Linked DNA regions of Tamandua tetradactyla. The protein of the gene in region 1 binds, or shares a complex with, the protein of each later gene. Links are inferred from orthologs where the notes say so. Each region holds a gene or a part of one and is shown on either strand. Other genes may lie near its edges.

Evidence for each region.
Region 2: INTS4 (region 1) and INTS6 share a complex: the UniProt entries of both Homo sapiens proteins name them as parts of the integrator complex. The link is inferred for Tamandua tetradactyla from reciprocal best matches to the Homo sapiens genes INTS4 and INTS6.

Annotation. Positions count from the first base shown.
Region 1 is NC_135334.1:66,678,863-66,686,692, forward strand, and holds the start of INTS4 (integrator complex subunit 4), read left to right. Parts: upstream 1-4,825; 5' UTR 4,826-4,925; coding exon 4,926-4,979; intron 4,980-7,830. UniProt on the Homo sapiens protein: Component of the integrator complex, a multiprotein complex that terminates RNA polymerase II (Pol II) transcription in the promoter-proximal region of genes.
Region 2 is NC_135330.1:104,750,110-104,757,588, forward strand, and holds the start of INTS6 (integrator complex subunit 6), read right to left. Parts: upstream 3,184-7,479; 5' UTR 3,109-3,183; coding exon 2,998-3,108; exon of another isoform or gene 2,926-2,997; intron 2,690-2,925; coding exon 2,612-2,689; intron 1,869-2,611; coding exon 1,719-1,868; intron 1-1,718. UniProt on the Homo sapiens protein: Component of the integrator complex, a multiprotein complex that terminates RNA polymerase II (Pol II) transcription in the promoter-proximal region of genes.

The DNA.
Region 1 (7,830 bases):
TTTGGTTTTCTGAATGTACCAAACTTCTTCCTGCAGCCACATATCTAACAATGATAATAGTGGATATCCACTGCTAAGATACATATTTAACATGCCTGAAATCAGAATGCATCTTAAAATTGCTGGTGGCCAGTTGCTCATGTGCAAACTGGGACATAGCGGTTCACGCTGCCATCACTACATCTGAGCTCTGTGCATTTTTGGTTCTGTGTGGTCTTTAATTGTCACAAATTACCTTTATAGAGATTATCCTATAATTTGGCATTGGAGCAAAAGGCTTGGAAACACAGCAGAATAACATATGATGTAAATCTATGTAAGTAAGTTTAATAGAGCCCTTTCAGTGAGTGTTTATAAATCTAAGTAATAAAAAACATTTGATTTTTTTTTTTTTTTGCATGGGCAGGCACCAGGAATCAAACCTGGTTCTCCAGCACGGCAGGTGAGAATTCTGCCTGCTGAGCCATTGTGGCCTACCCGAAACCCTTGATTTTTAAAAACTTTTTATTGTTTAATATAACATATATACAAAGAAAAGAAAGGAAATGAAATGATTTTCAATCTTTCAATTTCTTCTTTTTGTTCATTCCTTGCCTTCTTTATATCCTCCCTCAATTCACTGATTTGGTTTTTGATGAGGTTTTCCATGTCTGTTTGTATATTCTGAATTAATTGTTTCAGCTCCTGTATGTCATTTGAATTGTTGGTTTGTTCCTTTGACTGGGCCATATCTTCAATTTTCCTAGTGTAATTTGTTATTTTTTGCTGGTGTCTAGGCATTTAATTACCTTAATTAGTTTATTCTGGAGATTGCTTTCACTTCTTTTACCTAGGATTTTCTTGCTGGATGAATTTGTTGTCTATCTGTTCTTTGACATTCAGTTCAGCTTAATCTGGACCTCTAGCTTAAGTTTTGTTTAACAGAGGAGAATTTTTCAGTTCTTGTTTTCTTGATTCTTGCCCTGCTTGTATGGTGCCTTTTTCCCCCCACACTTAGGAAGGAAACTTAGGTATTATAGACCCCAGCCGGATTTTCCCAAACCAAACTGGCCTCCTATCAGGAGGGAAGACTCATCTGTGTCGGTTTTCCCTGAGGGTGAGACCCAGCAGGTTCAAAGATTTTCCTGTGAAGTCTCTGGACTCTGTTTTTCTTATACTGCCCAGTATGTGGCACCGGTCTACCTGCAGATCCCACCAACGTAAGATGATGCTGTACCTTTAACTTTGGCAGACTCTCCCTGCTGGCGGAGTGGTAGAGACAGAGGAGGGGTTGTAGGCTGGTTTTAATGGCTTCAAATTAACAAGCCCTGGTATCTAAATTCCTTGAGGGAGGGATTCCACCTGAGTTGGGCTTCACCCCTCCCCTGGGGAAGATACAGTCTTCAGACAAGCCCTCAAATGAGCTTGTTTCTGCCTATGCCTGGGGCAGTTGCAGCCTGAGAAGCCCTGCCGCTGTATCCAAAGGCAGCCAAGCCTCCATAGAGACACAGCCACAAAAACCTCTGTTTCCTTCCTTTTTTTTTTTTGCTTTTTCCGTCAGCCCTGCCCCCTTGGTGCTGGGGCAAAAATGAGTGACCTCTGCTTTGACCAGGTTCACTGGAGCTGGGAGCCTATTTTTAGTAGTCAGAATTTGTTAATTAATTCCACAATTGGTGTTTGGTTGGGCTCAGCCTCTGCTGCTGGTAAAGTCTCTTTCCTTTCCCCTCTGGGAAGCAGCCTGTGGGGGTGGGTCGCCAGCCGCTGTGGCTTGGCGAACTCACGGTTCTGGGGGTCTTGCAGCCAGTCCAGCTGGTCCAGACTGGGGTATGCTGTGTGTCCGGTCACTGACGTGGCCCCAGGAGCTGTTCTCTGAAGTGATTTTCAAAGTACACTTCAACAAGTAGTTACAGAAGAGATTTCAGAGTTTATTATGGGTCGCCATTTCACTATTACAGACTTTTCCTTCTAGTTGCTCCAAAACACTGGAGGCTAGGAGAAATATATATATATATATACATACATATATGTATATTTTGTGAGTGTGAAAAATAACATATAGACAAAACAATAAATTTCAAAGCACATCACAACAATTAGTTGTAGAACAGATTTCAGAGTTTGGTACGGGTTACAGTTTTAAGTTGTTAACTTCTAGGTGTTCTAAGATATTGGAGACTAAAAGAAATATAATTCAGCAATCATACTGGTTTGATAAATCCTACCTTCTTTATATAACTCTACCATCACCTTTGACCTTTCTTCCACTCTTTAGGGTTATTTGGCCTATTGCCCATTCTAACTTTCTCTTGTTAGAAGTGGCTGTCAATAATATGGGATAGGGGGATGGAACTAGTTGATGCTCTGGAGAAGCTGGCCCCTCTGCATTTCAGTGCTTATCTGGTTCGGGGACCCATCTGAAAATTTTAGGTTTTTGGAAAGTTACTGTAGGGCATGGAAGCTTTGTAGAATTTATATGGTGCCCTAGGCATTCTTTAGGATTGGCAGGAATGGTTTGGTTGGGGGTTGGCAAGTTATGGTAGGTAGCAATGTCTAACCGAAGCTTGCGTATGAGCAACCTTCAGAGTAGCCTCTCTACTCTATTTGAACTCTCTCAGCCACTTATACCTTATTTGTTACACTTTTCCCCCTTTTAGTCAGGATGGTATTGTTGATCCCAGGCCATCAGGGAAGCTTTCATCCCTGGATGTCATGTCCTGTCTAGGTGGGGAGGGCAATGATTTCACTTGCACTGTTGGGCTTAGAGAGAGTGAGGCCACATCTGAGCAACAAAAGAAGTCCTCCAGGAATAACTCTTAGGCATACCTATAGGTAGGCTAGCTTCTCTGCTATATATAGAAGCTTCATAAGAGTAAGCCTCAAGACCAAAGGTATAGCCTACTGATTTGGGTGTCCCTAATTTTTCATACAGTATCAGGGGTTTCCCTGGTGGTAAAGTTTAATAGTTCCATATTTTTCCTCCCATTCCTCAAGGACTTTGCCAATACTTTTTTGATTATCTGCTTAACATCCTCTGGGATGTAGTCAGGCATTACATTAAGCTATATAGGATTAAAGGCCCTCATTCTTTTTCTGAAGAAACTCTTGATTTTAATTTCAGCATTTTTTCTTATTGCATTACATAAAATAATTGTTTTATATTTGCCAGCAGCTTAAATATGATTGAGCATGGTAATGACAATGATAATAGCAGCTAACATTTATTGAGGGAAATTTTCCTAACTGCTTTTCATTTCACTTGATGCTTTTGTATTTGCTACAGTCTGTCTTTGCTGTTTGGATGTCTTTCTCACTGGAAAACTAAATCATTTACAGACAGATTTAAAACAATCTCCTTGTGGGGGTACCATGAGGAAGTCCATTTTTGAGCCACATTCCTCTATTACCCAGCACGCTTCCTGTGCCAGTTTGAATCTGTTCAACCGTACCCCAGAAAAGCCAAGTTCTTTAATCCTCATTCAGTATTGCTGGGTCAGAGCTTATTGATTATCCGTGGAGATAATACCCACCCATTTGTGGGTAGTAACTTTGATTAGATGGTTTCCATGGTGATGTGTCTCCACGCATTCAAGGTGGGGTTTGCTTACTACAGCCCTTTAAAAGGGAACCATTTTGGAAAAAAGCTTTAGAACCCAGGCAGCCAGAGACCTTTAGAGATGAAGAAGGAAAATGCCCCTAGGGGCACTTCATGAAACAAAAAGCTTGGAGAGAATGCTAGCAGACTTTGCCATGTTCACCATGTGCCTTTCCAATTGAGAGAGAAACCCGGAACTTCATTGGCCCTCTTGAACCAAGGTATCTTTCCATGGATGCCTTAGATTGGACATTTTTACTGCAAACTTGCAACTGAAAAAATTCCCCTTTTAAAAAGTCGTTCCATTTTAGGTATATTGCTGCATTCTGGCAGCTTTTAAACTAGTACACTTCCCTTGCACTGTAATGATCAATTTGAATATCTTTCTCCCTTAACAGTCTTTGAGGATAAAGAGTATCTTTTATGCACTTTTGGGTCCTCTCTACCACAGTGTTCTACTTTTTTCTAATTATCTTACATTAATTCTTTTTTGAAGAACAATGAACAGCTAACTTTTCATGTAGGATGCAAAGCTTGACCTTGAATTAACATTATTAAACGTGAACTCCATTTCACGATCTGCAGAACGTTTCCACATATTTCACTTTATTGTCCCTACATCTTTGTTAGGGTAGGTATTATTAGTGCATTGGGCATTTATGCAACGTTGAGACCACGGAGGTCACTTGTTTATCAAGTCCTGGTGTGAAGCCTTGGCCTCAGGGATTTTTTTCCCACTCTATTGCAGCTATCAGAGGTGGGATTGATTCCTTAAAATTTGGACAGTTTTGAACAACTGGAGTGAGGAAGCAGGAAGAAGTATTCCAGAACAGGGCAGGTGTGTCTCACGGGTTGAACGAAGGAAGACTTCGGGGAAGCCACAAACAGCAAAGGATGATGGGAATGTCAGGTAGGCCTTCTTCCGCTATTTTGCGATTTAAAATTCCTACGCAGCTCCAAGTTTTACCTCTGGCTCAGGATCGCCTCGCCATTTTCTCTTTAGTCTCTATTTCCTCCCTCTCTTTGCTCTGCTGGGCGCCAGTCTCCCACCACTACTACAGCAGCATCAAACCCGCGAAACACCAAGTGGCTTCTCCACACTTCTCCACCTTCCGCCAGAGGCCCCACCCTCGCCGCGCTACGCCGTGGTTTTCGTTCGCCCGGCGCAAGAGGCACAGGCAGCCAAAACTGAATGCACAGAGGCGGAGCAGCCGAGTAGCAGGAAGCGGCCTCTTATTCCCGGAACCCCGTTGGTTTGTGGGATAGCGGTGGGTTCCTCCCGCCTTGGCAGGTTTTCTGTGTTCCTTCACCCCGCCTCCCGCAGGGACTACGCAAGCTGACCCCGTGGGCAATCATGGCGGCGCACCTTAAGAAGCGAGTGTACGAGGAATTCACTAAAGTGGTTCAGGTAAGCGCCCCTAGGAAAGGTCGCCGCACAGGTCCGGAACGGGAAAGTCATCCCGGCCTCTGCCACTTTGCCGAAACAGACGGCAACAGCGTGAGTTGAGTGCCGAGGGAATGATCAGCTCCCACATTACGGAAAGTATTAGTTTCTTACTACTGTCTGTTAGTGTTTTCTACTACTGTCTATTAGTATTGCAAACCAATATGGGTAGTCTGATACTTTTTTTTTTTAATTTTTAGGAAGAAATAAGTAGTGCTTTTCAGCTTACTAAACTTGCCTTATTTGTTATGACATTTTGTTCTATCATACAGTCTTGCTAGTTCAGGTTACATATCGTCCTCTTTTTACAGATGTGGACATTTAGGGTTCGAGGACGCGACGAATTAGTAACATAGCCCCTCCCAAATCCCGTTCCCAGAAAAGTCATCCAGGGACGATGTGGCTATCTGCAAGGCTCTCAGGGACTGGAAGAGGGGTCTGTGGAGTTCGTTTAGACCCACAGGTGAAAGCAGGCGAGGATCACAGTCTTCATAACAATGGAACTCTCGGTTCTTGGAATAGCTTTGCCTTAGACGGGAGAGTGATCCCTTCCTCTGTTGTAGTTAAGAACAGAGGGGCTGAGGCCCTGCAAGAGAGCCCTCAGTGATTCTCCATGTGTCTTCACATGCCTCTCAGTAGAGGCTGATGGCAAATCATCCTTAGTTACTACTTCTCAAACTTGAGTGTGTATAGCAATGACTTGGAGATCTTGTTTTTTTCTTAAGGTAGTATTGTGAGATATATATTCACATACCATATAATCATCCAAAGTGTACAATTAGTGGTTCACAGTATCATTATATAGCTGTGCATTCATCATCACAATCGAGTTTTGAACATTTTTATTACTCAAAAAAAATAAAATAAAAATAAGAGTGAAAATAAAAGTAAAAAAGAATACCCCAAATATCCCATATCCCCATTCCCCCCATTATTTATTTATTCTTTATCTTATTTTTTTACTCAATTGTTCCTATACTGAATAAAGGGATTGTCAGTAACAAGGTTTTCACAATCACACAGTCACATCTTAAAAGCTTTATAGTTATACAGTCATCTTTAGGAATCAAGACTATTGGATTACAGTTCACCAGTATTAGGTATTTCCCTCTAGCTACTCCAGTACACCAAAAATCGAAGCTACATATTGCATAAGAATAACCTCCAGAATGACCTCTCAGCTCTATTTGAAATCTCTCTGCTACTGAAAGTTTATTTTTGTTTAATCTCTCTTCTCCCTTTTGGTCAAGAAGACATTCTCACTACCTTGATGCCAGTGCCAGACTCATCCCTTGGAGTCATCTCCCACATTACCAGGGAGATTTACACCCTTGGGAGTCATGTCCCATGTAGTGGGGAGGGCAGTGAGTTCATCTGCAGAATCGATTTAGAGAGAGCGAGAGGCCACATCTGAGCAACGAAAGATGTTTTCTGTGGGTGACTCTTAGGCATAATCATAAGTAGGCTTAGCTTCTCCTTTGTAGGAATAAGTTTCATAAAGGCAAGCCCAAGATTGAGAGCCTGGCCCATCAAATTGGCAGTCCCCAGTGCTTGCAAAAATATCAGGTCTTCCCCGGGTGGGGAAGTTGAATATTTCCACCTTTTCCCTCAATCCCTCAAGGAGATGTTCTGTCCAGATTACTCTGGGATGTATCTAACAGCACACTAACTGTACAAACCAAGAAGGTCTTACTCCCTATTCAAGATTCCTTGTAATTATGGTGTTTGAATAAGCTGACCATACAAGTTAAATTAGATAGTGTGCTACTGAAAATATAAATTTGTACCAAATAAACATCTCTTCCTTTGGTGTCACAGAGAGGCTGAAGTTTTAATAGCACTCTGTTAAAGAGTTTCATAGCACTCTATTATAGTTATCTACTTATTGCTTGGTACTGTAATTACCAGTGTAGTATCGCCTTACAAGTCTGGGCTCCTTGAGGGCAGAGATAATGCCAGGCTCATTGCTCTGGAGGGACCACAGTGCCTGCCTCACTAAAATATTATTGATGGTTAAATGACAGCAGATTCTGATTTGTCCTCCCCCTTACATAGTTTCTTAGGGAAAAAAAATCTTTCCAAATTTGAACTAACTGCAGCCTAGAAACACTGGATTTGTGTATAATAAAGCAGGAATGGGTAAGGATTTTAGGGGAAGAGCTTATTTCTTCACTTCAGTCTGCATGAGTGGTTACTGTAGGGAAGAAATGATATCTTAGTGCTTCTGTTCTTACTCTGCTGTGAAGATGAGGGAGAACAGATATGTATCTAGCACATATTAATTGTACAATAAAGTCGTTATAATTTAGACTGTCAAATATCCCAATTATATAGGTATTGGCATTCCCTTTTAGGGAAGGAGAAGGCTTTTCCCACCTTTTAAATGGTTATTGAGTCCAAATTCCCCTGGTCATTCCAAAGTGCTCCTTTTTTTTTTTTTTTAATCATACTATAGTATAATAGTCCTTATCTCTGTAGCAGTGTGATTTTTTTAAGGAGGTGATTGCTCAGGACCTTAGAATAATTTATTAGAATTAATGAAAATTACTGATTACAACTTTTATGTTATCCTAGGATTTTTGTATATACCTACTCCACAGGGCGTGATTTATGCTCTGGAGTGATAGTTCCCTTTTACATGAACTTTCTCACATTCGTTGTATGTAATGACTGCATCTACAGTGTTTCTAATTATGTACCATCCTTAGGAAAATTGAGAAAATAGTTACTCAAATAATTTTCTGTGTTTTGAGATTTATATGAGAAGCCCTGATTGAGAAGGGCTGGTGGTAGATATCATCATTCCTGTGTTACA
Region 2 (7,479 bases), on another chromosome or scaffold:
CAAAAGCATCCTATATCCAGGCTTTTCTCTCCGTCAAAGTGGTAAAGCACAGCAGAGCTAACTTTGACCTTAAACTTTCTGCAAGCTTTAAAGTGTTCTTCCATGGAAAATGACAACTGGGAAAAGGAAAACATACATTTAAGTTATAAATGCCCACAACTTCTCCACAACAATCAGGATTCCTAAGAAAGCAACTAAACAATATTCTTAATAGCTAGTATTGGTGAACTTTTCCACTTAAGGATTGTGATGGTGGAAAACAGGAAATTAATAGTTCTGCTACATACTAACCAAAAAATAAGGATAACCAAACAATGGAAAGTTTCACATTTTTCTTTGATTTCAAAAATAAAGTTTCAACTATAATGTAAGCATAAGATACCTCACCTTTACAAATAGCAAAGGAAAGAAACCCATTATTTTATAGAAACAAACTAAAAAGTTCATGGCATGGCAAATCTGCCTAAATTACTGAAAGGTGTGAAATGAAGGGGGGTGGAATAAAACTATAATGTGGTAAGAAAATACACATATACTTAAATGACCTGCAATTTGGTAAAAGCAGAAGTGACTGCATTGCAATGCACACTTTAAAGGTCACTGAACTAAAATCAGCCATTTGCAAAGGTCCTTAAACACTCAAGTTATCAGTATTAAGTAAAACAAACATTTCTAAAAGAAAGGAACAGTTCAAAGTTGCAGTCACAGAAAGAATTTCCCTGTGATACTTATGAAATCTGTGGCTCATGGAACGTGGGAAAAGATCAGATGTAATGTATAACTAAATGTATCATTGTGGTAATAGTGCTTTACACTACATCATAAGTCCTTGGGTTTAATATTCCTTTCTTATGTGCAACATCACACATTCTTCAGTATCTTTTATTTTCCAGGCCAGCAATCTCATATAAGAGTTATAAAGGACCACCTAGATTATTTCATAGTGAATCATCAAATGATTTAAGGCTCTGTGGGAAACCTTATGTCATCCTCAAATGAAGAAATGCAGGTACAACAGACGGACTTGTGGGGGGGGTTAAGATAGGGTTCCTTTCATATTTTTTCAGACAGCCTCTTTTCCAAGGGTTTGGAGTTTTGAAAAAAAAAACACCACCACCCCCAAAGAAAAACACCTCTAGACCTGCCATTTAATTCAGAATCCCCCTGCAATAGTCACTAATGGTGTATCCTTCAAAAGCTGAGAAATCTTAATGTGCCAAACCAGTCATTGTACCTCAATGAGAACCCTTTCAGAATTGCTATGTCAGAGGATTAAATTAAACCCTTTTGCATTTCCTCTAACATTTTTACTAATATAGAAATAAATAGCACTACTCCACAACCACTAAGGGTTGCCCATCTGCCTGTGGTAGGGTATCAATGCAACGGGGTAAGACCAGACAGGTTTCTTCTTTTATGAACTTCAAGGGATTAAGACCAAATTCATAACACGTAACTTACAGAAAAAATCAGATTCTAATTCTGAATACAAATGCACTGTTAGAACAAAAAAAAAGAGGGCTACAAAACCGTGAACAGTAAGGTGAGAGTTTCACCTTTGTAGTACGTGTTACTATATGTTTTAAACTTACTTCAGCTTAAGTTTTCACCTAAAATGTTTCATACTTCTATTTCAGGTCATATGGATTTTGGAGTGGAATGTGTTTTCCCACAGCATGAAAAAATCAACTATTTTTCCACCTTAATATTCAACCTACCTGCCCATAGTTGTCTATGCCAGTTACTAATCTATTTAAATTTAACAAATCAAAAGCTGTTCTTAGGGACTGGCCAAGAGTCGTAAGTCCTTCAGCCTGAAGGTTTTTCAGTTCATTCATAAACGTTGCATGGTTCTCTTTCCATCCAGCCTGAAAAGAAAAATTTAAGAATATTTTTTCGTCTTGGGGACAGCCATTATAATCTGATGTTCACCAAGTGGCCTCTTTTTCTTGACAGTATGGTCTGGTTAACTTGTTTTATATACTGTATCCCAACTGGGGAAACTCTCCTCCAAAGGTGGCCAAGAACAGGAGCCGCTTGCTCCCGGGGTGGGGTGGCCAGCTGCCTCCGCACTCTGTCACTTGGCTGGGAAGTAGACTACCTGATCTAACACCCCAAGGCGCGGGGTGCGAAGGTTCTGGAGGGAAGAGGACCCTCGCCGGCTGACCTCGAGCTGCCCGGCGGCCCGGGCCAGGCTAGGGCCCTCCGGGGGCGGCTCTGCAGCCCCCCGTCCCGCAGGCGCCCCCGGCTGGAGCCTGACCCGTGCCGACCGCCGCCTGGACGCCTGGGCTCCCGGCCGGGGCCAGCGGGGCGCGGCGGGCCGCTGTCACCCGGGCCGCTGGGAAGAATATCCCCCACAGTTCATTGCTGCCGCCGCGCCGCGGAGGGGAAATGTCGGCCATGTTGAGCGCAGCGCCGCGGGCCGCGCCGGGGAGGGGGCGGCGGTGGCGGGCGGCTCGGCGCCGCGCCGCGCGACCCGAGGCGGGGGAGGGGGCCCGCGGGGGAGTCGCCCGGAGACCCGCGGGTGGGGGAGGGGCGCGAGGACAGCGAGGGGGGAGCGGGGAGGGCGCGGAGCCGACACCAAGAGGGGGGGGAGGCCGAGGGCTGTTACCTTGATGGCATAGGGCGGCTCTTCGAAAGTGACCAGCATGTACCTGTCTCCGCGGCTGGCGGGGTCCCGGGCGCGGAGCTGCGGGAGAGCGGGAGGGAAGCACGCAGGCCAGGGTCCCCGCGCCGCATCCCCCCACCACCTCCCCAGTACCGCACACGCAGCACCCCCCCACGCCGCCCCCACACCCCAAGGGCCCCGCACCCCGCCCGCGGCCGAGCCCCGCTCGCAGCGCCCGCCGCCCGCCCGCCCGCGCGGTGGGGGAGGGGCCCCGCGGCTCCCGCAGCCGGGTCCCCGGCCCCGCGGCCCGTCGCCCCCACCGCCCCCACCGCCCTGCCCCCCGCGGGCCGCCGGGCCGGGATCGCCGCCCGGGCTCGCTCCGTCGGTACCTTCATGAAGGTCTCTACCGCGCCTTTGGCCGTGTCCAGGTAGGTGGTGCCCAGATGGCTGCGCTGGTTCATAGAGGCAGACGTGTCTATCAGGAACAGTAAGATGGGCATAGTGCTGGCCGGGGACACCGCGGCCGGCCGAGGCAGAGATGGCAGCGGCGGAGGCGCCGGGGGCGGCGGCGGCGCGCGGCCCCCGGGAGGAAAACACCGTCTGGGTCTTCCCTCCGGCTGCGGGGAGTTTCTCCCCCGATAGTTGAGAGGAAACTCCCCAGACCCAATCGTCCCCGTCCACCCCCGCCTCCGCCTCCGCCCGCCTGCCTGCCTGCCCGCTGGGCCGGGCGCCCGGCCGTCTGTCTGTCGGTCCGTACCCCCCCGCCTTGGGGGTCCCGTCCCCGCTCCCGGCCCCTGTGTGTGTCCCAGCGGGAGACGGGCCCGACTCCCCACCCCACCCCCGGTTGCAGGGAGTGGGGACCTGGGAGCTGGCGGAGAGGGGAGTGGGCTGAGGGGAGATTGGCCCTGGGGCTGTTGGGAGAAGTTTCAGGGACTCCCTCCGCACCCCAGCGGTATCACCACTTTCTCAGCCCCTCTCGCTACTGAAGCGCTTTTCTCTCGCACACTCCGGTTTTAACTCGGGCAGGGGCTGCAGAGGCTCCGCCCCCCGGACACGTCCCCTGGCCACGTGACGCGCCGCCCCGCCCTCGTATTGGCTAGCCCCTAGACTCTCATTAGCATATTCAAACAGCTCAGGGGCGGGGGAAGCTTGGAGGCCAGCTTTGGGGACGGTTACTGAGCACGCGCGGAGGCGGGGCGTCGGGGGCGCGCGAGCGCGAGCGCGAGGGGCGGGCGGGCGGGCCTGCCGGCGCGGAGGCGGGCTCCGGGAAGGGGCGGGGCCGGGCCGCGGAAGGGCCGCGGCGTGGGGGAGGGGCGGGCGCGCTTTGCGCCTGCGCGTCAGGGCCTCCGGCCTCTTCTGGGCTGGTGGAGGTGATCGGGGTCGGGGGGAGGGGGAGGGAGCCTGGCCTCGGCCTCTTCTGGAGGTCTCTGTGGCGCACCCCTACCCGGTGGGCGAGTGCTGAAGGGACGAGCAAAGTGCACGCGGGTCACTGTGCAGCGAGAGGCGGTGCACTGGGCGCGGGGCGTGGGGGGCGGCCCCGGCGCGGGCGGGTCCGGGAGGGGGAGGAGGGGTTGTTTATGACCAGGGACTAGCCACCTCGCTAGGGAGTGCGGACCCAGGGCCAGGCCTGCAGGGGAGCCGCCGAGGCTGGGGCCGGGGCAGGCCGGGTGCCCTCCGCGGGGGGCCAGAAGGAAAAGACCACCGAAGGGCATGGGGGAAGATAAAAATATCCGTCAGCCGCTTGCTGCCTTTTTACTCTGGGGGCAAGATTGACTGGGCCTAGCGGAAGAAATGCCTTTCTCACGTCGAGTTTACAAGGGGCCTTAGGATATCCAGCCTTGAGAGCTGAAAGGGCCCTCGGTGGCCATGACCCATTACCTTTCCTTTCCAAGTGGAAAACTGACTTCACCTTGCCCAGGCAGCCGAGAATGCACCGAGTGGATCCTGATCACCCTTCCCCAGCTCTTTCCTCCCACTACGTGCTACCTTTCAGACTATTAAAACAAGCCCCTGTCGTTTCACCTGGAGTAATGTGTCCTCAATTTACTGCAGTGGAAGAACTGGCCACATTGCCTTAGATACAGGTAGAATTAGGAGCACAGGGCTCTTATAAGCCTTTGTCGTTATTTATAGAAACTTTCCTACTCATGTTAAATGTGATTTTTTTTTTAATATTCTGAGATTCTTGATATTTGCCTATCGGTCATTTAGAGAAATTGTCCCAATTAATGTCAGCAGAGAAGAGATACTTTGTGTCACATTTTAAAAATCTGTGAGTTTCACAACTTGGAATTTTCCTAGTATTTAAGATATGCTCTGAAACTTTGTGCTAATTTGTAGTAGGACTATTTCAGTAGATAGGGTGTTTTGTGAGTACCTCCCATAGAAGTGTGATATTTGTAAGGAATTTGGACTATGAAGTAGAAAGGGTATGGAATACAGGTCTTTAAGCAGTTTGTTCAGCCACTTTGCTGAAGACCTACTGTGAGCTAGGTATGATGGAGAGTGAAAAAAAGAGGAATGAAGCACGGGGGCCCTCCCTTCAGAGTTTAAGGTTTTCTAGGAAAATATGACATACACATTAAAAACTATTACTAAACCCAAATGATAAGTGTGGTATAAACAGCTCTGCAAATCGCAGGAAAGCTAAGTGCAATCAGCCAAACCCAAAACAGGTAACCAGAACCTATGCCAGAAATGGAGCCTGAAACCAAAGGCCAGTGTTTGGTCCAGAAGCAATGTCCAGAAAGGTCGGGGTGGGGGGGGGGGGGGGGGGGGGGCGGGAGAAAAAGGAAGAAATCCGAACAAGCATAGGTAGCAAATCAAGAGGCAATCAGAAGCCAGGAAGCATTGACTGGCAGACCCTAGACAAAATTATGAAATAGGTCAAGTTTATTCTTAGTGACTCATTTGGTTGACAGTTAAAGCACAGGTTGACAATGGTTTAAAGCAATGATTCTTAGCCAGGAAATGCACATCAGCCTCACATATAGAGCTTAAAGTAATGACAATAAATATACCAGCTTGCCATCCCCAGAGGAAAGTGATTGATAGAGTAGAACTGGAATGGGCCCTGGTCGTCCACATTTTGAAAAACTCTTCATGTGAATCTTATAAATAATAGTGATTGAGAACTGCATGCTTAAAGTATAAAAAGTATGTGTCTGACATCTAGTAGGTACAAATAACTAAAACATTCAAACACCCTTAGATTTATTGCATTTTTGCAAGGACTCCTAAAATAAACAACCCTGCCAGCTAAAGGGAAGACTATGAATGTGGTCACCAATATATTTAACACAATATATTTAATATATTTTTGGCAGAGGCTTATTTAATTTTTTTTTAATTCAACTATATATATTTTGGCAAAAAATAAAGAGAAAAGTCATTTAAGCCGTGCCAGAGATCCCCACTGTCTCCTTCAGTGAGCATAGGTCCTGGAGTGAGCATGAGATGGGAGCCATGAGGCTACCTGTGATTCTAACATGTGGTTATAGAAAGATAATGCAAGATTGTTTTTCTAAAATGTGGCCCCTGAATTCAAGCCAATTATTTCACCTGAGATTCAACTGAAGAACCAGCATTTTAGTGCTAGAGGAAGAACCAGTTAGGAGTCTCTGTGCCCAGTCCTGTTTCCTGTTGTGGTTAGAAGATCAAGGAAAATGTTCCTGAGAAAGCACTGGTCAGAAGAGATATGGTGGAGAAAAAGTGCTCTCTGCTACTGTTTTTAAAGGAGTGTTGTTCAAATGCTCTGGCCCCAGTTTAAAAGGGAGCGAATAAATTGTACAGGAACTGCTGAAATAATGGTGACTCTGGGCCAGACAACGGCTTAAATGGTTGAAATGGAGCTATTCTAACAGAATTAAGAACTGATGAATTAGATACATTTGTAGGAGCCAACCAGAGCTCTTTTAAATTATTTTAAACCAATTAAGCAGGGTAACACGGTTTAAAAATAATTATGTGCCAATGACTCGGTTTCTGGTATCTGGGCATGACATCTGAACATAATAATCAGATGAACCTAGTGTTCCTCAATATGTAACCTAACCAAGTCTCTTCTGGCTAGCACACCAATGCTGTGGCTTCTGTCTTCTAACCTGTGTGAGATGACCTTAGTCAATGATGTTTAAAGATTGAGAACATCAAAGAAACATATAGAAGTGATAAGCATAAACAATTAGATGTGAAACTACATCCAGTGTAGTCAGGTAATACATACATAAGGAAATTTTATTTTGGTAATCCCAATATTACATACTATCAGTCCTCAGAAAAATGCTGCTAAGGACTACTATTAAAAAGAAATTCCAAGGAGCAGTGTTTCACAGTAAGAGTTGAAGTCTCAGATCATTCAAAATCAGCCCTGTAAATAAACATACTCAGATTGAGAAGGGAGTCACAGGGGAACTGTTTTTCTAGCAAAAGAACAGGAAATTGCAGTCAGTCTTTCAGCTATTGTTAATTGCATACCTGATATGTGACGGGCACTGTGCTAGACCCGCAGAGAACTTATGACCTAAAGGGAAAGAACAAAGACCAATAAACAAGAAATGAGAATAAATAGTATGGGATTCAGCAGACTCCAGGCATGATATAATAATGCCTGCCATACAGGGTTGTTTTGAAAATTCAAGGTAACATCCATATTTCATCAATTCTAATACACTATCACCACTATTTTGGGGCCATTAACAGAGACAAAAAATGCTGCTAATTAAACTATGATACAATGCTTTCTTGTCACTTAGAATTTTTCCACACTCTATTGAACTCCATCGACACGAGTGTTAGAGATACAGCATTTTTTTAAAAAAATGCTCCTCTGTTTTCTCTGGTGTTTTCTTCCAAACTATTGGCACCCATTC